3 linked regions of the Stegostoma tigrinum genome follow. The protein of the gene in region 3 interacts with the protein of the main gene of each other region in a pairwise test. Links are inferred from orthologs where the notes say so. Each region holds a gene or a part of one and is shown on either strand. Other genes may lie near its edges. The genes, in order: pdgfra, ezrb and erbb2.

Region 1 (7,106 bases), on a different chromosome or scaffold from region 3:
GGAAAACACACACACACACACACACACACACACACAAGTGTTCTCGAAATACTTGCAGTAGGGAAAAAAACGTACAGCACCCACATCCCAGTTTTGTCACGTGCAGGAGGGTATCCTTTGTCATTGTCAATCTGATGACATTTTAAACCTCTATTAATGTTTGTGAGAGGAACAGCAAGTTACAGATATAGCATTTACATTCTGCATTCAATATTCGTAATCCCAAGCGATGTTTGAAGGTAGAAAAAAGAACCTGGTGAAGACTCGAGTTGACTCCACGTTACAAAGGGGCGAAACAGCCAGAGACCTGGGGGACAGGCTGCAGGCCACTCAGTTATACCCACCCGCCGCTCTCATCCTGCCTGTCCGGGATTACTCAGCAGCAGAGTGGCTTGACCTGAGTAACCGGCTTTGATTCAGGTTGTTTTTGTTGTGGAGGATGTGCATTTGGGACGTGCTAAACCCTAGGGTAATTTATCAGATTCCTCCAAGCGTCCTTTAAGTGCAACAAGACGGGGAGCAGACTCCAGTGTGAGGAGGTCAGCTCCAAACTACCCCCTGGATTCGCCACCAAACCCCTGGGATGTCCCAGGGGAGTGAATAGGCAAAGCGCATCCTCTCTCCGCTCGGTCAAAATCCTGCAGGGGTCCTGTGAGCTGGCAGTGCAAATAGAGTCGCCTCCCAAAGGCGAACATTTCGAAATCTTTGGGACACCACCCGCTGGCTTGATTCTGCGTCGAAAATCTCACCTCAACAGGGCTCCAAGATAACAAAGTGTGGAGCTCCGCTCCGTTCATGAAAGACTGAACTGTGAGCAGAGGATGGGACTGGGAATAATGACAACAGAGAGGCCAGGACAACTGAAAGCGAACATGTTTTAGTCACAGTCTTGGTTAACTTGGTTAAATAAAAGGATTAGAGAGAAAGAGAGAAACAGAAAGGATTTCCCGACAACAGGAGCTGTTTTATCAGAAGATAGCCTTACAGAAGTCCCATTGTTACCGACTTTACTTTTCTCAATAAGAGCTGGGGCTTCTTAAAGTGCCAGCTACCCACCGCGCGGAGCGCTGCGCTCTCTCTCTCTCTCTCTCTCTGTATCTGCGCTGCTCTTAACCATTTCAGTGCCACCCAGCAGGGTCTCGGTTTCAACAGCCCTCCCACTGGCTTTTGGCACTTCTGATGAAGAGCTGCGACTACTTCGGGCCAAATGTTTACCCGTCCATCGGTCCGTCTGCCGCTTCTCAATCTCCGGATCGAGTCCCCGGCAAAAAGAGGGGAGCAGGGGAGATCGGCGCGGGGAAGTGCTGTGTGGGGTGTTGGGGGGGGGGGGATGCCGGGCAAAGGGTCTGCTCCGGGTGTTTCCTGAGCAAGAGAAGGCAACGGGCACACGGAGCAGGGCAGACAGCAAATCAGACGCACCTCTCAGAGAAAACAAAAAATCCAGTACCAGAGTAGAGAAACTATTTTTGGGTACAGCGGTAAAACAGAGAGAGTGGGGGGGGGGGGAGTTGGGCAGTGGGCGAGTGGATAACTATAGAGGCTAAAGGACCTGGGGGTGGGGGCAAAGTGACAAAATAGTGCGAACGATGGAACAGCAAGTGGGAAAAGTCGGCTTAGAGAGAATCGGAGTAAAGTTGTAAGTTTTACTGTTCATTCTCTTCCAGAACTGAAGGGGGTTTGAATGAAGGAAATGATTAAAATGAATGATCAAGTTTCCTGAGAGTGAGTCTAACTACAGCCAAATGATGAAGAAAGAAACAAGTTATAAGAAAAGGAGCGAAGAGAGAGATATTACTGAAATACTACATTGATTCCTACCTCGTTTATCCTGCTGCTACTTTCCCCTCTCGCAAGTTTCGCAGAAACCTCCCGATACTGCTTTCCCTCACGGACTAGCCAACAAGCATTGGCTCACTTCTCCCTCCTTCCTGTTTACGTGATTCATCCGCACGCCAGAACTCCTGTACAATCCCCAAATCTCTCCCTCCGCCACCCTCGATCCCAGGACAGCGGAGTATTCCCAGGAAGAGAGAAGGAGAGACAGAAAGCCTCCACTTCGTCCGAAATTCCTCAAATCCCTGACGCAGGCTCACGGTGGCTCCCACATCCAGCGCCAATGTGTTTGTCATTATTATAGGTATTATGCAATGGAGCCATCAGTCTGCAGCGCGGCTGGCCAAGTTAAATGCAGCGGGACGGTTATCATGACCCAAGACCGTGCACAGAGCCGCTCTGTTTCCTCACTCGATAACGGTACCGCTCTAACATGCCACACACTCTCAGATAAGCGCTCACTTCCAAACTCAAAACATGCACTCCACTCAATGAAACGCACCACTTTCATACTCCATCGCTGGCCAAAGCGAACAGCCTTCTGAGAACAATCGACGATATGAACAAGACTCTTACATAATAAAGTACAAGCAGTTCTCCTAGTCCTTAAGATGCTTGTGCCCCTTTGGACCGACGGCGAACCAGCAGAGGGATGTGTGCAGGCACAGCTGTGGGTGCAATCTATATTGTCGTCTGGAACGCCAGACCTATTTACTAACAGATTTTACACAAGGAGATAAAACAGGGCCCCCACTCTCGCCCCGCACGCCTTTATAAAAATGATTTGTTTGCCCCCTACCTTGTGCAAAGTGGTAAGTCCACCAACTTCTGTTCCGAACAGGGGCAGCATGTACGTTTCACTCTGGAGCTGGGCTCAGATTGTTTAATGGCTCAAAGAACGGCGACTTGTAATTGATTCAATGTTGCAGTCCATCCTTCCAAAAAAACTAATCATCTGCTTTAAGTAAATAACTGTCAGGAAATGAAGCCCCTGAAGTCGCTTCAGAATAAGAGTCCGCAGATCACACGCTGCTCTTGGAGCCCTATTGGCTTCAGGCGGTCGAAGCTAGCCTTCCCAAACTCTTATCCACGCAGGGCAGTCACATTCAGGCTGTCTTGCGCAGAAAATTGCCATATGTGCATTTTGAAGCAAGTTTTATATGGACGAAAATGTTTCCCTCTCTCTCTCTCTCCCCAAGTTGCACCCCTCCGCCCGTGCTGACAATACGCTCACGGAAGGATAGCTAGTCTTTATGAATGAATTCCCAGCCCTTGTTAAACGCGGCTGATCTGTGCTCAGTACCAATGTAGTGGGACAGTTACGTTTGTAATGTTAGTGTCACTCAAATAGAAATGGCTTGAGAGATTTGAGGATTGTTTGCCAGAGTTTTGTTTAGAGAGGTGTGGGGGTAGGGTTTGGGGGAAAGAGAACTGCATAGTATTTTTAATGTCCTCCTGAACGTTGTCAACCGCAATAAATCTGCAAAGTGTTTTATTTTGGGATTATAGGAAACAGAAGACATTCCTAAACACTGGGTAAAATGATTTAAGTATGTTGTAAACAGATCGTTTCGCGTAATGACCTGATTCAATATTGACCAGTGAAGGCAGGAGGCGCCCTTGTTCTGTTCCTTGGGAGTTATTGCCCAGGAGTGAGGTGAGATCGCCTGCTCTCTTTGCATTTAAAAACCCGAACTGGCTGCATGAAAAGGTCGGTTTGACATGTTGTCTAACAAGCTCAGACCGTCTCCATCTTCTAATCAATTGGGATAAAGCAAGGGTGTAAATATCGAAAGAAATGTGGCGGGGAGCAATTGTGCAAACTATGTGCCAACACTGGGTGCCCGCTGGAAGGAGCGGGCTTGTTCGTTCTCCTGTTTTTTTTTTGTGTAGCTCGCTGCTGTTTCTCATCTTGCCCCCAGCCGTTAGCTGCAGTAATATATCTTCAGCGCTGGGAGTGAACAGGCCAAATATTACTTCCACATGTGTTTCAGGAAATCATTGGAGGCAACAGCGAGGCCAATCTGGGGAACCTCTTGTTTCTGGATGCTCGGAGATACCGTATTATTCCGAAAGAAACAGTCTCTTACCCATCTGAGAGAACGTTCGAATGTGTTTGATGTAAATAAGAGCGTGTTTATAAACTATTAGTGACGGCACACGCGCCGATCGATAGACTAACTTTTCAAAAAGGGAAAAAAAAGCCGAGAGTTTTGCAGTCCCTGTCCATTTCAAACCCTGTTGTTATTTCCCGAATACTTCGCTGAGTTTCTCGCTCTTTGGACTTGTCATGTTTTCACCCTCGGTGGTACATTTAGCTGTTTTTCCAACTAAGAAATTATTTCAGTTTATTGTTTAAACACCGACTGCGTTATCTTGTAAGAAATCAAATAACTCTAAGAAGCCACGCTGGGGGGTTAGAGTGTAGCTATATCCTATTTACAAGTCTGAGCCTGAGATTGTAATGGTTTGAGTGTACATCAGTCGGCAGACCGAACAATAGTTTGAGTCAATTGGTTGCAATTTGAAAAACATTGCTGCCTCTTGCAAACATCCAGTTAATTGACTTTGTCGGGAATGATGAATACGTGGATGGAAGGTCAAGCACAGAGTAAACTTGATGCAAGGTGAAGGTGAGCTCTCTGTTGCTGAATTACTACAGTGTAGATTTCCAATACAAGGTCACTCCCTCGGCGCACTGACCTGCAGCGTTTGGAGGGGTGTGTGGGGAGAAGAACAGGTCGGTGGAATACCACCTCCAGTCAGCAGCCGAGCTCCCTGTGAGCCCTAGCTAGGTACACACCGCCCTGACCCGCCAGTCAACAATCGAGGCTCCACTTTCAGCTTCTCACCAACAGGCCATCTTGAAGGGATTCCGAACTAGAGGAACACCATTAACCCCACCCGCCTGCTCCCAAGGATGATGTCCACGGCCTATTGGGCTGGTTGAAGGTAAAGGTCGGCAAGATTGCAGGCTTGGCCAGGGCAATCGTTTGGCCCAAAGAGCTGAGATTGCTCAGCCTCCAGTGTAATAGAAAATCCCTCGTCTGGGCGCTTGTGCACCTGGCCCATAGGATGCAGGGGTACAGCAGAACCACCTCTATACCTGCTGGAATAAACCCAGCAAGTGCAGAGGAAGACTTGCGATTTTGAACGGGAGATTATCAGCGTATGCGCATATTTATTCGCCTGGATTGGGAGGGTTTCTTCTGAAATAAAACGGAAAGATACACGGCCCACTCGATCAATCCTGATGTGGACAGATGTGTCATTGTTAGATCATAACCTCGTTACTGTGGGAAGACGTGCGTCCACACAACGCAAATTGGTCTGACGTAAACATGCTCTTTACCCAGGTTACTCTTAACATTACGCTACAGCATGTTTTAATTCAGCAGTCTGGTTGGGGGCGATTTCCATTCCACGACATAACATGCGCTCTGCTTCAGTACCCCGGCACTCCGGCGAAGATAAGCACAGAACTGTGAGACTTGCATGTGTTGGTAACACTGCATCTTCAGGGGGAGCTCAGTGCCTGCCCGTCAGCAATGAGCAGCGCTGCTGTTATCGATCTAACTCCCGTTCCCAGACTCAGAATAACATCTGCAGTAATTTGCTCCTTCATTCCCAAACCTCCGCTTTGCTCTCCTTAACGAATACTTTAAACAAATAAAGATTCCACGGTGTAATAAGTTATTTGCAAGTTTGGGAGTTTGGTGAAAGGATTTTGTGTTTAAAAGGCAATTATCACTCTTTTTGGAGCTAACCTAATTGAATTCAATGACAGACTAACTCCTTGACTTTATTAGGGGGCTGCGTGGGTGCAAATGACACGGAGACCAAGAAAGCCATTTGACCAGAGGGGGCCCGCGATACTGTTGAAAGCAATCCGTAACTTGTCCTTCCTCATGATTTCTTTTCTTTTTGGGGGTAGATTAGTCAGAGCAGCTGGGTTCCGTTGCTCCTACTGGGGTGAATCAAACTGCCGGGAAAGACAATTAATAAACTACCCAGCCAGCACAGAGGCGCTGTGTGGTCCGAACGGGTATAAGGGAGGGGGGGTAAGAAAATGTCTCCCAAAGTGACAGGTCTGTTTGTTTATTTGTCTCTTATCAGGCCATACTCTAATAGGAAGCGTTTAAATGCACACCATATGTGTCCGTGGATGGCTCCCTGACTGTCCCAACTCCCTTCACCATGTGTCACAAGGGACCTCTCGCATTGATAACAGGCCGCTATCAAGGTCCAATCTGTGGGATATTCTATGAACTGTTAGCTCGTATTTGTTCAGTGTGCTCTGTGAAATTCTGTCCCCACCACCCCCGCTGTGAGTGTTGTCCACGGGATAAATAATTTTTTGCTCGATATGGAGCTGCCGGAGTTGTGCGGGGGTTTCAAGTCTTTTTTTTTTCGGTGTAATCTGGCCGTTGTGAACGCTTTGGGACTGAGTTGTCAGCGAAGGCGAACGCAGTTGCTTTCCCTTTGATGTAGCTGACTGGTTCGTAAACCGAGACTTCATCTGGTTTTCGATCCCAGCTTTAAAACTACAGTTTTACAAACTGATGCTGGCCATTTACAACCAGGAGCGCAATTAGTTCTAGTGTGTGAGCTTTGTTTTATGACCACATTCGATCCGGTTCAGTCTTAATGATCGTTTGGTTTGGCACCTTCTAGAGTATCCTCACTTGAATGTTGTTTGACTCGTATCTTGCGTTCTGAGACTCGCTCCTGAACTTAAAAGCTCCATTCGTTTCCAGTGGCAGTGTACTGATTTCTCTCTCTCTCTCTCTCTCTCTCGCTGGCACATGCCCCGACTGTAACAATGTCGTTCATGAACGTTTCACAACAGATGAACAATGTAATCAAACACAGGTTCTTTCGGAACTGGCAAAGACATTTTGCTGGACCAACTGCACTCTACAAGACTTTTCATTGCACCTCTCAATCCTGCTTTCTTCAGAAACACGGACCACCAGCCAGAACTCGGTTTGTACCGTTTGTTTTCATCAAGACTATTCTCAATACCTTGCCCTCACACTAAAGCAGTTTTAAAAAGCGGGACCTTTTCGTGTCATATCGGATTAGAACACTTGCTGGAGTGGAAATGAGAAAAGGTCAACTCCCAGTCTATCCGTCTAACCCACTCTACTGTCACCCAGGATACTGCGTAGTTCTTCACCATAAACTATTTTATCATTCATAAATACTATTCTCTCTTCAGCCATTTGCGTTTCCATTTAACTTTCCGATTCATATTTAATGAGCGTACTCGT
Region 2 (7,250 bases), on a different chromosome or scaffold from region 3:
GGCTATTCAACCCAGTTTACTTGTGCTGCCATGCAGTGAATAGCCCTAAATGCATGTACCCATCCATCCTTCAGCTACATCAATATAGTCATAGTTTCTACTTCAATCAATGCAAGTACTACATTCCACCACCCGGTCTGCAAAGACCTTATCCTATGCTGTTCAAATGTTTAAGTTAAGTTGATAACAACAATCAAAATCCAGTTTGTTTGTGTCTTGTCATTCCATCATAATTACAGAATGCAGAGGACTTTACAAGTCACTCTGATCTAATGAAACTACTCCACTGTTACATACTGTTTTTGCACATCTACACCCCATCACAATGCCCTGACACAGGGAAGTGGGTCTTAAATGAGCCTGATGATCTCATTATTGCCTCAAATACATCCTGAAATATGGAACCAAGTACTAAACATAACACCTGTGACTTACTAAATTACTACAGATTCAACATCATTATATCTCAATTTTTAATTGAATTATGCTTCTTTAAATCAGAAAACTTGGCTCTTTTGAAATCTCAGCAATAAGAATATTTATTTTCCATAAAAACTTCATGAAGTCATCAAATACTGAGTAGAGAACCTTTGTTCAGTCCAATTTCCAGCTTAGTAACGATGACAATACTTGCTCTACACTAGGTTCAACTCAGTTCTCAGCACATTAATGTAATTGATCAACATTTTTAATCAATTACATTATCAAAAGCATGCAAAATGCAGGAATTCTTGACACATTAATTATGACCTTTGAAAATCCTGAACTGTTTAAAAAAAGTCAGAAAGATCTTGGTTATGGGATTGAAGTCACATGCCAAGTTATTTTCCCCTTCCCTTTCTGTTTCTAAAAAGGAACAGCTTAAACAATCTTACCAGATTTATACAGCCATTCCAGCACAGAATGTGCTATTCAACCCCTTGAGTCCATGCTGACTATACAGCAATCCGATCAGAGAATTCCTCTGCTCTATTCTGCAGCCCTGAAAATTGGATTATCCTCTACTGCCCATCCAATTGTTTTGAAATCATGCTTTCATTCCTACCACTCTTGTAGGGGGCAAGCTCCTAGCCATTACTACTCAGGAGTAAGATAATAAAATGTGAGGCTGGATGAACACAGCAGGCCAAGCAGCATCTCAGGAGCACAAAAGCTGACGTTTCGGGCCTAGACCCTTCAGAGTGCTCCTGAGATGCTGCTTGGCCTGCTGTGTTCATCCAGCCTCACATTTTATTATCTTGGAATTCTCCAGCATCTGCAGTTCCCATTATCTCTGATACTACTCAGAGTAAAACAGTTCCTTACTTAAAGTTTTAAATCTGTATCCCTAAGCCTTGTATCAATTAATGCAAACAGGTCTCCTTTCAAGCCAGATTTAACTGATCTAGTACAATGTGTATTTTACATTTTAACAACCAAGGTACAATCTAGAACTAGCAAATACAAGGTATGGCTCAGACTTGAGCAACACGCAAACTGAAATCAGAATACTCACATGAACTTTCAAGTGTTAAAACTTATAAATGAAAATAACTGCAATTTATTATTGAACAAAATGTATGGTCCAATTTGTTAATCAGAACACGTAGTAAACTTTCATGCATTCAGCAGCCATCCACTTTTAAAGGAGAACAACATTGAAATTGAAGAATGAGAAGACACCCAAAGCTCATGCTGGCTACATTTTTCCTGAAGGCAGGAATCATCTTAAGTAGTCCATTTTTTTGCAACAATTAAATAGTACCCTCTAGCGTTTCCACAGCAACCAAATCAAAACTTTTAAAACACTTCATTCTATTACAAATGTAGGCTTTGTTCATCATACCAGGCCACCTCTGAAACTTGGAAGGGTGATGACTTAAAACTTAATGTAGTGTGATCAAGTCTAAAAGGCAAACCAAATTCTGTACCAGCACAACTCACTGTCAGGTTTAACTAACAACAATTATTCAACAATTCATAGCCACAGCAACCTACAATGCCAAAGCTTCAAGTTTCAATTAAAGCAAGATTACCTTGTGAAAATTGCTCTATCAGTCAGAATTACATAAAGGGGGAAAAATAGGAAAAACTGGCAGTTATATTGCTGCAAGTGTTAGATTATATGTAATTCAATGCATGAAGTGATTGCTGCGACTTACTTCACAAGACACCATCTTATTTAAGAATTAAACACGCTTGGCTTTCTAAAAAAAGACTTTTACTACATACCGGTTTCGGCATTTTCGGTCTTCTGAAGTTATTTCTAGTTGAACAAGTGCCGAGAAGTTGAGGTTTAAGGTCCAATCAATCACCTGCCACAAAATGAACATTGAGGTAAGGAGCTGGGTCTGGGTAGAAGTCGTGCCTGGCCCGGCAAAAGCTGCACCTTGCAGTGATTCACCTCCAGAAACTTCGAGTGGTAAACAGGGCACAGTCAGAAAATTCACTAAAGAACAGCGGGTGCCACCCACTCACAAAATGCCTCCAGGGAGGGGAGGTGGTGAGGGAGACGATTGTGTGAGGATGTGACCCTGGGCTTGGTTCAGGGTCGCCTTGGGTTAATTAAAGTGACATTCCCCCAAGATTTAGGAGGTTAAATCAGGCCTTGGACAGTTTGAGGTATCAACCCTGGTTAATTCGGGCGGAGTCTGCATATACGCTCTGATATTTGCCTCAAATCGTTATTTAAAATTCCGAAAGAACAGTTTTGATCTAAATTTTAAATACTTTACAGAATTTACATTTTAAAATTTGCTATGATAATTTAAATTAGTTTGACTGTAGATGAATTAGATTCAACAAAAAAAACTTTTCGAAATTCTTATGTCTGATGTTACGCTCCCCCGAAAATTCGGTGAAAGAAGCCACGCAATCTCGGTAGAGATTGGGTCGGACATACATCAATCACAGCGCAATTGCACTCCACCCGCTCCTTACTACCTCTCAACTTTTTCCCCGGCAACTCGGCTCCTTACCTGCCCACAGGTCGCTTACACCTGGGTGTCTCCAATATGGCTGGCTGTTCCGTTTTACCTAATCCTCTCCGTTTCTTGCTGCCACTCCCCTGTAACGCGGCCGCTCCCTATCTCAGTGGCGCTGCCTTTCACCCGCCTCCAATACTACAGCATTAAGAAAGCACTAACTTTCATTTAGGTAGCACCTTTGGACTGGTGGAATTTTTGGAAAGTTAGCGCTCACAAAACAGAAATGACCAGATTATCTCAAGAGATAGCAAGAACTGCAGATGCTGGAGTCTGAGATAACAGTGTGGAGATGGAGAAGCACGGCAGGCCGAACAGCTTGGCCTGCTGTGCTTCTCCATCTCCACACTGTGTTATCACTGACGAGATTATTTGCTTTAGTTATATTGATTAAAGGACAGATGTTGATCAGGGATAATTCATTTTCTCTCAAAGAATACAGCGGATTTTTTTTCTTGTTTGGTTCAAATGACTCATTTCTTTAATATCCTATCAGAAAGAAAAGACCTCTCTGAGAACAAAGTCTCCCTCACTCCTGCACTAAAATATCAGTATTATGAACTCAATGTCTGGAATGGGGCTTAAGTCTACTCTTAGAACATAGAACATAGAACAGTACAGCACAGAACAGGCCCTTCAGCCCACAATGTTGTGCCGACCATTGATCCTCATGTATGCACCCTCAAATTTCTGTGACCATATACATGTCCAGCAGTCTCTTAAATGACCCCAATGACCTTGCTTCCACAACTGCTGCTGGCAATGCATTCCATGCTCTCACAACTCTCTGCGTAAAGAACCTGCCTCTGACATCCCCTCTATACTTTCCACCAACCAGCTTAAAACTATGACCCCTCGTGCTAGCCATTTCTGCCCTGGGAAATAGTCTCTGGCTATCAACTCTATCTATGCCTCTCATTATCTTGTATACCTCAATTAGGTCCCCTCTCCTCCTCCTTTTCTCCAATGAAAAGAGACCGAGTTCAGTCAACCTCTCTTCATAAGATAAGCCCTCTAGTCCAGGCAGCATCCTGGTAAACCTCCTCTGAACCCTCTCCAAAGCATCCACATCTTTCCTATAATAGGGCGCCCAGAACTGGACGCAGTATTCCAAGTGCGGTCTAACCAAAGTTTTATAGAGCTGCAACAAGATCTCATGACTCTTAAACTCAATCCCCCTGTTAATGAAAGCCAAAACACCATATGCTTTCTTAACAACCCTGTCCACTTGGGTGGCCATTTTAAGGGATCTATGTATCTGCACACCAGGATCCCTCTGTTCCTCCACGCTGCCAAGAATCCTATCCTTAATCCTGTACTCAGCTTTCAAATTCGACCTTCCAAAATGCATCACCTCGCATTTATCCAGGTTGAACTCCATCTGCCACCTCTCAGCCCATCTCTGCATCCTGTCAATGTCCCGCTGCAGCCTACAACAGCCCTCTACACTGTCAACGACACCTCCGACCTTTGTATCGTCTGCAAACTTGCTGACCCATCCTTCAATCCCCTCGTCCAAGTCATTAATAAAAATTACAAACAGTAGAGGCCCAAGGACAGAGCCCTGTGGAACTCCACTCACCACTGACTTCCAGGCAGAATATTTTCCTTCTACTACCACTCGCTGTCTTCTGTTGGCCAGCCAATTCTGTATCCAGACAGCTAAGTTCCCCTGTATCCCATTCCTCCTGACCTTCTGAATGAGCCTACCATGGGGAACCTTATCAAATGCCTTACTGAAGTCCATATACACCACATCCACAGCTCGACCCTCATCAACCTTTCTAGTCACATCCTCAAAAAACCCGATAAGGTTTGTAAGGCATGACCTACCCCTCACAAAGCAGTGTTGACTGTATTTGATCAAGCCATGCTCTTCCAGATGGTCATAAATCTTATCCCTCAGAATCCTTTCTAACACCTTGCAGACGACAGACGTGAGACTTACCGGTCTATAATTGTCGGGGATTTCCCTATTTCCTTTCTTGAAGAGAGGAATTACATTTGCCTCTCTCCAGTCCTCAGGTACGACTCCAGTGGAGAGCGAGGATGCAAAGATCTTCGCAAGTGGCGAAGCAATTGCATTTCTCGCTTCCCAAAGCAGCCGAGGACAAATCTGGTCCGGGCCTGGTGACTTGTCAATCTTAATGTTTGACTCTTGTCTGATGTGTTTTATCTTAGCAAAGTATCAAAGTACAGTATGTCTAAAAGGTAGACAGAGTGATGGCCGCTGACCTTGTTTAAGTGCTGAATAACAAAGGCAAATGTGGACAGTACGCACATAAAGAGAAACAGGGTATCAATACAAAAGTAGTAGATGGGAGGAACTGAATATCTCAAATAATAACAGAATTCCTTTATTTCTAGCGCTTTCTGTTTTTGTTTCAGGCTGCCACACAATATGCAATCACAAGACACAGCAGCCCTCTCTGGAGGGGCTAGTGGCACTTGGCAGTACTTGCCAAATTCATTGTGCTACAATATATGGTCTATAGCTCTGCCATTTTGAGGTCACAATGTTTTCCAAAACAGCTGACAGAAGATAGAGTGAAGAAGTGAATGGAGGAAAACCTGTACTAAAAGACTCTGAAAACAAGAACCAAAAGATGTTTGTCTGACTGACCAGCTACCAAATTGAGGTTCAGTGTGGTTGACAATAACATGATATCATTGCCAAAATCAAGAGAACTGATGGAAGCTACTTCACTCGGAGGGCTGTTGTGGGTTGCAATGGGACACTGACAGGACATAAAGCTAGGCAAAGAAGTGGCAGATGGAATTCAACCCAGAAAAGTGTCAAGTGATTCATTTTGGAAGGTTGAATGTGAATGCAGAATACAGGGTTAATGGCAGGATTCTTGGCAGTGTGGAGGAACAGAGGGATCTTGGGGTCCATGTCCATAGATCCCTCAAAGTTGCCAACAAGTTGATCAGGTTATTAAGAAGGTGCATGGCGTGTTGGCTTTCATGGGCAGGGAAATTGAGTTTAAAAGCTGCGAGGTTATGCTGTAGCTCTGTAAAATCCTGGTTAGACCACACTCGGAATATTATGTTCAGTTCTGGTTGCTACATTAAGGGAAGGATGTGGAAGCTTTAGAGAGGGTGCAGAGAAGATTTACCAGGATGCTGCCTGGACTGGAGGACAGGTCTTATGATGAAAGGTTGAGGGAGCTAGGGCTTTTCTCTTTTGGAGCGAAGAAGGATGACAGGTGACTTGACAGAGGGGTACAAGATAATGAGAGGCACAGATAGAGTGGATACCCAGAGTCTTTTTCCCAGGACAGAAATGACTATTGCAAGTGTACATAATTTTAAAGTGATTGGAGGAAGGTATAGGGGAGATGTCGGAGATAGGTTCTTTACGCAGAGAGTGGTGGGTGCATGGAATGTTCTGCCGGTGGTGGTAGTGGAGTCAGATACATTAAGGAAATTTAAGCGACTCTTGGATAGGCACATGGATATGCAGGGCAGTTTGATCTTAGAATAGGATAATAGATTGGCACAACATCATGGGCCAAAGGGCCAGTACTGTGCTATTCTGTTCCATGTTCTATGTTCTATGTTCTCTTCCACTCCATTGTGGTTTGGACTTTTGACCCATTGAAAGCCATAGAATGCCAGTGTCATTCAGCAACAAGATAACAAAGTGTGGAGCTGGATGAACACAGCAGGCCAAGCAGCATCTCAGGAGCACAAAAGCTGACGTTTCGGGCCTAGACATCTGATGAAGGGTCTAGGCCCGAAACGTCAGCTTTTGTGCTCCTGAGATGCTGCTTGGCCTGCTGAGTTCATCCAGCTCCACACTTTGTTATCTTGGATTCTCCAGCATCTGCAGTTCCCATTATCTCTCATTCAACAACAATATTTCTCTAAAATTGCTTTCTCTGTTTGTGAATGAATGTGTGCATATTTTGATTTAAAGGGAGGATGGTTTAGGTTTGCATATTAGTAATTAATATTCCATTTTTACTAAGTGCCAAAGAATATGTATGTCATAATAAATGCCTTTTTCCTTCCTTGTTCATTGATAGAAGTTATTAAAAAATAACCATCTTAGTCATTTACATTTTTGGAACAACTCATGGAATAGTGGGATTTAATTTCCAATGCACACTTCACATCAGGGTCATGACAGGACTTCAGCTCCACTTTGTCATTCACTCCTCAAATCTTTGATCTTTCAAGAGACGAAAGATCTATTACAACCTTCAAGATGACAACAATGGAGCATCCGCAATGTTTAAGGATAGAGTATTCCAAAGATTTACAGTCTTTTGATTGATTAAA
Region 3 (7,017 bases):
CAGCACAGCACCCTCTCTATATTGTACAGATACTTACCAATTGAACTTGCTGTGATATTTAACATAACCCTTATCTTGGGTTTCAACTCTACTTTCTCAATCACTCAATATTTCTCTGCTCTGAGAGACCAAAAATATGTTCAGCCTTAAATATATTCAACCACAGAAATTCCACAACCCTCTGGAACACGACTTGATGACTAGAATCAAACTCTAATAAGAAACCTGATCCTAGAATTTTGACAAATGAAATTTTACAAATAATGTGCCAATTGTCTCAGAGCTGGGCTTCTGATCCTATCTCCTTTCCATTACCAAGGCCACCTATCTGCACATTTGTAACATTGGCCACACCCACAGCCAAAATCATCAACAACACATTTTTTAGTTCTGGGTATAAAAATATCCAACAGACTTGCAATTGGTCTCATCTTCTGCCCTCTAATCACTCTACATCATCTGAAATTCCGTTCCCACAAAACTAATTTTCACGGAGTTACATCCACCAATCACCTCCACTTTCAGTGACTAATGTTGCATTGTCTCGCAGATCTGCTGCACAACCATTTTAAAATTCTCATATTCAGATCCAAAACAGTCGAGCACCTGGCTCCTACAAATCTGAATTATTTCCTTCGCATTTCCGATATCACCAAATAACTCACCTTTTCAAAAATAATAACCAACGACCCCAAGGGAGTGCCGAGGGAGCGCCGCACTGTCGGAGGGTCAGCGCTGAGGGAGCGCCGCACTGTCGGAGGGTCAGCGCTGAGGGAGCGCCGCACTGTCGGAGGGTCAGTGCTGAGGGAGCAGGCACTGCCGGAGGGTCAGTGCTGAGGGAGCGGGCACTGTCAGAGGGTCTGGGCTGAGGGAGCGGGCACTGTCAGAGGGTCTGGGCTGAGGGAGGGTACTGTCGGAGGGTCAGTGCTGAGGGAGCGGGCACTGTCAGAGGGTCAGTACTGAGGGAGCAGGCACTGCCAGAGGGTCAGTGCTGAGGGAGCGGGCACTGTCAGAGGGTCAGTGCTGAGGGAGCAGGAACTGTCGGAGGGTCAGTGCTGAGGGAGGGTACTGTCGGAGGGTCAGTGCTGAGGGAGCGGGCACTGTCGGAGGGTCTGGGCTGAGGGAGGGGAACTGTCGAAGGGTCAGTGCTTGGGGAGCGCCGCACTGTCGGAGGGTCAGTGCTGAGGGAGCGGGAACTGTCGGAGGGTCAGTGCTGAGGGAGCGGGCACTGTCAGAGGGTCTGGGCTGAGGGAGCGGGCACTGTCAGAGGGTCTGGGCTGAGGGAGCGGGCACTGTCGGAGGGTCAGTGCTTGGGGAGCGCCGCACTGTCGGAGGGTCTGGGCTGAGGGAGCGGGAACTGTCGAAGGGTCAGTGCTTGGGGAGCGCCGCACTGTCGGAGGGTCAGTGCTGAGGGAGCGGGAACTGTCGGAGGGTCAGTGCTGAGGGAGCGGGCACTGTCGGAGGGTCTGGGCTGAGGGAGCGGGCACTGTCGGAGGGTCAGTGCTTGGGGAGCGCCGCACTGTCGGAGGGTCAGTGCTGAGGGAGCGGGCACTGTCGGAGGGTCAGTGCTGAGGGAGCGGGCACTGTCGGAGGGTCAGTGCTGAGGGAGCGGGCACTGTCGGAGGGTCAGTGCTGAGGGAGCGGGCACTGTCGGAGGGTCAGTGCTGAGGGAGCGGGCACTGTCGGAGGGTCAGTGCTGAGGGAGCGCCGCACTGTCGGAGGGTCAGTGCTGAGGGAGCGGGCACTGTCGGAGGGTCAGTGCTGAGGGAGCGGGCACTGTCGGAGGGTCAGTGCTGAGGGAGCGCCGCACTGTCGGAGGGTCTGGGCTGAGGGAGCGAGCGCTGTCGGAGGGTCTGGGCTGAGGGAGCGGGCGCTGTCGGAGGGTCTGGGCTGAGGGAGCGGGCGCTGTCGGAGGGTCAGTGCTGAGGGAGTGGGCGCTGTCGGAGGGTCAGTGCTGAGGGAGCGGGCACAGTCGGAGGGTCAGTGCTGAGGGAGCGGGCACTGTCGGAGGGTCAGTGCTGAGGGAGCGGGCACTGTCGGAGGGTCAGTGCTGAGGGAGCGGGCACTGTCGGAGGGTCAGTGCTGAGGGAGCGGGCACTGTCGGAGGGTCAGTGCTGAGGGAGCGGGCCCTGTCGGAGGGTCAGTGCTGAGGGAGGGGGCACTGTCGGAGGGTCAGTGCTGAGGGAGGGGGCACTGTCGGAGGGTCAGTGCTGAGGGAGGGGGCACTGTCGGAGGGTCAGTGCTGAGGGAGGGGGCACTGTCGGAGGGTCAGTGCTGAGGGAGCGGGCACAGTCGGAGGGTCAGTGCTGAGGGAGCGGGCACAGTCGGAGGGTCAGTGCTGAGGGAGCGGGCACTGTCGGAGGGTCAGTGCTGAGGGAGCGGGCACTGTCGGAGGGTCAGTGCTGAGGGAGCGGGCACTGTCGGAGGGTCAGTGCTGAGGGAGCGGGCACTGTCGGAGGGTCAGTGCTGAGGGAGCGGGCACTGTCGGAGGGTCAGTGCTGAGGGAGCGGGCACTGTCGGAGGGTCAGTGCTGAGGGAGCGGGCACTGTCGGAGGGTCAGTGCTGAGGGAGCGGGCACTGTCGGAGGTGTCACCTTTCCGTTCACACTTGGCCTGATTGGGATCGTCCGGGCTCCTGATCGCTGTCGGTATTGAGCAGTGACTATACCTCTCTGCCGCAACACCCCTGCCCGCAGCGACACGCAATCTGAGGCCACGGCTGGATCACCGTCCCCACACTAGCTTCCTACTCTCCCCCAACCGCCGGAACACCGTCCCAGCCTTATCTCACCGCAGGCCTTACCTGGCCTCTGGGCCGCACCGAGCGCTGCGAGGAGCAGAAGCCCCGCGAGCCGCATCGTCCCGCCGGCCGCGCGAGCTCCACTTCCGGCCGGAGCGGAGTGGGGCGGGCTCCGGCGGTGGGCGGGGCACATGGTTGCGGTGGGGACAAATAGCGGGCGGGGCTTTTGGATTGTTCTACGGGGGTGGGGGAGGGAAGGAAAATGGTGGGGCTGTGTGAGACCGTGGGGCCAGCAATGAGGGCGTGGCTTGTCGTGTGCGTGGAGCAGGGATGAGGGGCGGGGCTTGCCGTGTGCGTGGGGCCGGGATGAGGGGTGGGGCTCGCCGTGTGGGTGGGGCACAGCTGTGGGGCGGGGCTCGCCGTGTTGGTGAGGCGAGGAGGAGCTTGGCCTTTGTGTGGGCGGGGCCAGAGAAAGGTGAGGTTAATGGCGCCGTGTCTGGCTGCGGAGAGGGCCCGGCGGTACGTTTACCCGCTGTTAGTGTGCCGGGGGCCGATGAAGGTGTAACGCAGTAATCCTGTTGGATTGTTGTACGTGTCCGTCTCTGGGATTCCCGCCCGCCTTGACGATGTGGGCTAATGCCTTGGCCTTGTACTGCTTGGGCCTTGCCGCTGTCTGTCTGCCTGCCGCCTCTTGCTCCCAGGGGGACCGGGAGCCCTACTACCGCCACTGCGTCCAGATGTGTGGGCGACACAACTGTACTGGAGCCCGGCTGCGGATTTTCCACAAACTGCAGCCCCTCTACATGATGGCAGCAGGTAAGGGCCACATCCCCCAGGGTACGCGCCACCCACCCCCCACCCCCGGACCCCGAACCCCGACTCTCGTCGGGGTTTCTGTCCGTTTTGCTTTCATTGCATCAAAATGAGTGGGCATTTGATCAAGAATTATTTTCCTTTGTTTCTTTACTCAGACTGAGGCAATGCCCGTTGATTCAACAGTTGTCTTTTCCCTATTGCAGTGGCCCTGAAGTTAGTTAATTTGTGGTTGAGTTGCTTGTTAAAAGTAGCTTGAATGTTGACCATGTCTCTTTCTACTGGCAGGTTGGAGTTGTGCTGATGACTGTCAATACAACTGTATGTGGCTGACAGTGGGACTGTACGTTCAGGAAGGACACAAAGTGCCTCAATTTTATGGCAAGGTGATGTGGGTGCTGCAGTAATTTAAATTATTAATTGATACTGACTTTGGTTGGAGCATTCAATATCTGATATTCCTGGGAACCAGTAAGACCACGAACCCTTATTGTGAACCCTACAATGACCACTTTGGTGTGACCCTGAGCCCCTTCACAAAAATATTGCCTGTAATTTGATGTTTCTCAAGACCATTTGTTGAGCCCCACCACCACCACTGCCCTGGCTAAGGATGCTGGATTGTTTCTTGACTGAACTAGTGCTTCTCTTTCTTTTTGCAGTGGCCCTTCTACCGATTTCTGTTCTTCCAAGAACCTGCCTCAGCCTTTGCCTCTATGCTGAATGGACTGGCCAACTACATGATGTTGGGCAGGTACCGGGCTGCAGTGCCTCTCGAATCTCCGATGTACCATACATGCATCTCCTTCGCCATGGTAATGACAATACTAAACTCTGCTGTTGTAAAAGAGTTGGTGTCTCTCGACAGTGCAGTGAAGAGATACTGTAGAACAGGAAGCAGACTGATACAGCCTGTTAGAGGTCCAGGAAAGCAAATCACCCTGAGTTTATCTTGCCTCCTCCTGTGACCACATGCATAGCTTTCCAGAGAAGTTGGGAGCTGGGGCTTGTTTGCAGTTTTAAATTTTTGCCCATAATTGAGGGTGTTTTCACGGAGAGATCGGTGTTGAGTCACCTCCAGCTTGTACGGTGCTGCTTTAAGTCCGAGTGACTTTATGAAGGTGTAATTAGTGCCTTTTAGATTTCTCCCAGTTACAATCTTGAATTGAAGTGCCAAGAGATTATACTAAATTTTTGTCAGTGATAGGTTTGACCCCTGCTGAAATGTTGTCCCATTCTGGGCACCGCACTTTGGGAATGATGTCAAGGACTTTTGCAGAGGGGATTTACCAGATTGTTTTCCCAGGGGTGAGGTATTTAGTTAATTAGGAGATGCTGGCACAGTTCTCCTTACAGCAGATTTGATAGAAATGTTGAATATCGTGCAGTAGCCATAATGTGTGAATATGTGAATTTGTCCAGAAAGAGCAAAGAAACAGCAGATTATCTAATAGGAGAGATTGCAGAACTCAAATGTTCAAAGCTGTCTTGTGTCCTGGTTGTTGAAGCAAAAGAACTATGCACGCATGGCAAGCCATTAGGAAGGCAAGTGGAATGTTGGTGCTTACTACAAAGTGAATAGGATATAAAAGTAGAACTGTTTCGCTCCAGTTATGCGTGGTGTTGATGAGACCACATCTAGAATACTGTGTAAGGTATTGGCCTTATCAGAGAACAGGTTCTACTAGATTTGGGGCTATATAATGTGGCAGCATTAATTAATGACCTCACAGTAAACCTAGAGGTAGCAATGATGACAATATGATTAAATTTTGTGTCCTGTTGGAAAGGTAAAAGTTAGTATAAGACTATATTTTAAACATAACTAAGAGTAACCATGTGGGTGTGAAAGCTGAGCTAGCTGAAGTGAACTGAGCTGAGCTATAGATGAGGGATGGATCAGTAGATGGCAGAAGGTCAGCTTTACAAATAAATATTTCATGGAATGATGGTTGCCATCACTTCTTGCCCTGAAGATGATTGTGGTGAGCTGCTTCCTTGAACCATCGACAAGATGCACAAGAGAAATAATCAAATCTCCTCAGACCATGCCTTACAAGCCCACAACTCTTATCTAGGAGGACAAGAGGAGCAAATTAATGAAAATACCACCATGTGAAAGTTCCCCTCCAAGCCACGCAACACCTTGGCTAGGATGTACAGTAAGTGTTGGAACTCCCTCCCTAATGGCATTGTGGGTATAGTTTCAGTAACAGTACTGCATATCCTAGCCAAGATGGTGGTTTGGAGGGGAGCTTGCATGCGGTGGTTTTTCCAGTAATCTGCTCGTCTTGGCCTCCTAGATAAGTGAGCTTGTAAGGCACTGTCTAAGGAAATTTGATAAATTTCAATAGTGCATCTTGTAGATGGTACACACTGCTGCTACTGAGTGCCAGTCTGGAAGTAGATGCATGTACATGTCGATTGAGCTGCTGTTTTGTCCTGAATGGTGTCAAGTTTCTTGAGTGAGTTTTGGCATTGCACTTATCCAAGTGGAGAGTATTCCACCACACTCCTGTCTAATGCCTTGTAGATGGTGGACAGGCTTTGGGGAATGAGGAGATGAGGTACTCCTGACAAGTTTCTAGCCTCTAACATACTGTTACAATCATACAGAAGATGCCTGTGGCCCACTAAGTCTGCATTGACAAAAATACCCAATTCTCACTAGACCCACTACCCAGCACTTGGTACGTAGCCTTGATTGTTACGTTTCATGTTCATCCAACTACTTTTTAAAAGTTGAGTTTTCCACCCTAAACAACCCTCCCAAATAGTGTTTCAGATTCCCACTGACCTCTAGTTGAACAAGATTTTCCTCAAATCTCTATAAACCTTGTGCCTCTCACCTTAAAATTATGGCCCCTTGTTATTGACCCTTCAACCAAAGGGAAAAGCTGGTTTCTTTCTACCCTGTATATGCCCTCCATAATCTTCTATACCTCCATCAGGTTTCTTCCTCTCAGCCTTCTTTGCTGCAAAGAAAAGGTGCTGTGCTTATCCAGCCTCTGTTTATTGCTGAAATGCACCGTCCGGGGCAACATCCTAATGAATCATCTCTGCACCTGCTCCAGTGCAGTCACATCCATCCTATTGTGTGGTGTCCAGAATTGCATTCGGTACTCCAGCTGTGGCCTAATCAATGTTCTGTACAGCTGCACCATAGCTTCCCTTCTCTTGTAAGCTATGCCAGACCTGATAAAGGCAAATATGCTGTACTTGGGCCTTAACTACCCTAATAACCTATCCTGCCATCTTCAAAGATCTGTGGTCAAAGCACCCAATATCCATCTCGTCCCCTGACCTTCCTAGCATCCTGCCATTCATTGAGTGTTCCCTTGTCTTGTTACCATCACCTCTCATTTATCAGGGTTAAATTCCAACTGCCACAGGTCTGACCAATCTGCCTATCCTTCTTGTAATCTAAGAATAGCACTGAATATGAAGGGGAAATGGTTAGATTAC

What was found.
Region 1: the proteins of erbb2 (region 3) and pdgfra interact in a protein complementation assay, tested with the Homo sapiens proteins (2 studies listed by BioGRID, with this or other methods). The link is inferred for Stegostoma tigrinum from reciprocal best matches to the Homo sapiens genes ERBB2 and PDGFRA.
Region 2: the proteins of erbb2 (region 3) and ezrb interact in a protein complementation assay, tested with the Homo sapiens proteins (2 studies listed by BioGRID and IntAct, with this or other methods). The link is inferred for Stegostoma tigrinum from reciprocal best matches to the Homo sapiens genes ERBB2 and EZR.

Annotation. Positions count from the first base shown.
Region 1 is NC_081354.1:107,877,106-107,884,211, reverse strand, and holds the start of pdgfra (platelet-derived growth factor receptor alpha), read right to left. Parts: upstream 3,105-7,106; 5' UTR 2,633-3,104; intron 2,099-2,632; exon of another isoform or gene 1,819-2,098; intron 1-1,818. UniProt on the Homo sapiens protein: Tyrosine-protein kinase that acts as a cell-surface receptor for PDGFA, PDGFB and PDGFC and plays an essential role in the regulation of embryonic development, cell proliferation, survival and chemotaxis.
Region 2 is NC_081362.1:34,192,162-34,199,411, forward strand, and holds the start of ezrb (ezrin b), read right to left. Parts: upstream 3,094-7,250; 5' UTR 2,958-3,093; intron 2,295-2,957; 5' UTR 2,224-2,294; coding exon 2,212-2,223; intron 1-2,211. UniProt on the Homo sapiens protein: Probably involved in connections of major cytoskeletal structures to the plasma membrane. In epithelial cells, required for the formation of microvilli and membrane ruffles on the apical pole. Along with PLEKHG6, required for normal macropinocytosis.
Region 3 is NC_081384.1:1,012,151-1,019,167, reverse strand, and holds the start of erbb2 (receptor tyrosine-protein kinase erbB-2), read right to left. Parts: upstream 3,014-7,017; 5' UTR 2,933-3,013; coding exon 2,803-2,932; intron 1-2,802. Other genes in the region: pgap3 (post-GPI attachment to proteins factor 3), read left to right, coding at 3,366-3,555, 3,841-3,938, 4,215-4,367. UniProt on the Homo sapiens protein: Protein tyrosine kinase that is part of several cell surface receptor complexes, but that apparently needs a coreceptor for ligand binding. Essential component of a neuregulin-receptor complex, although neuregulins do not interact with it alone.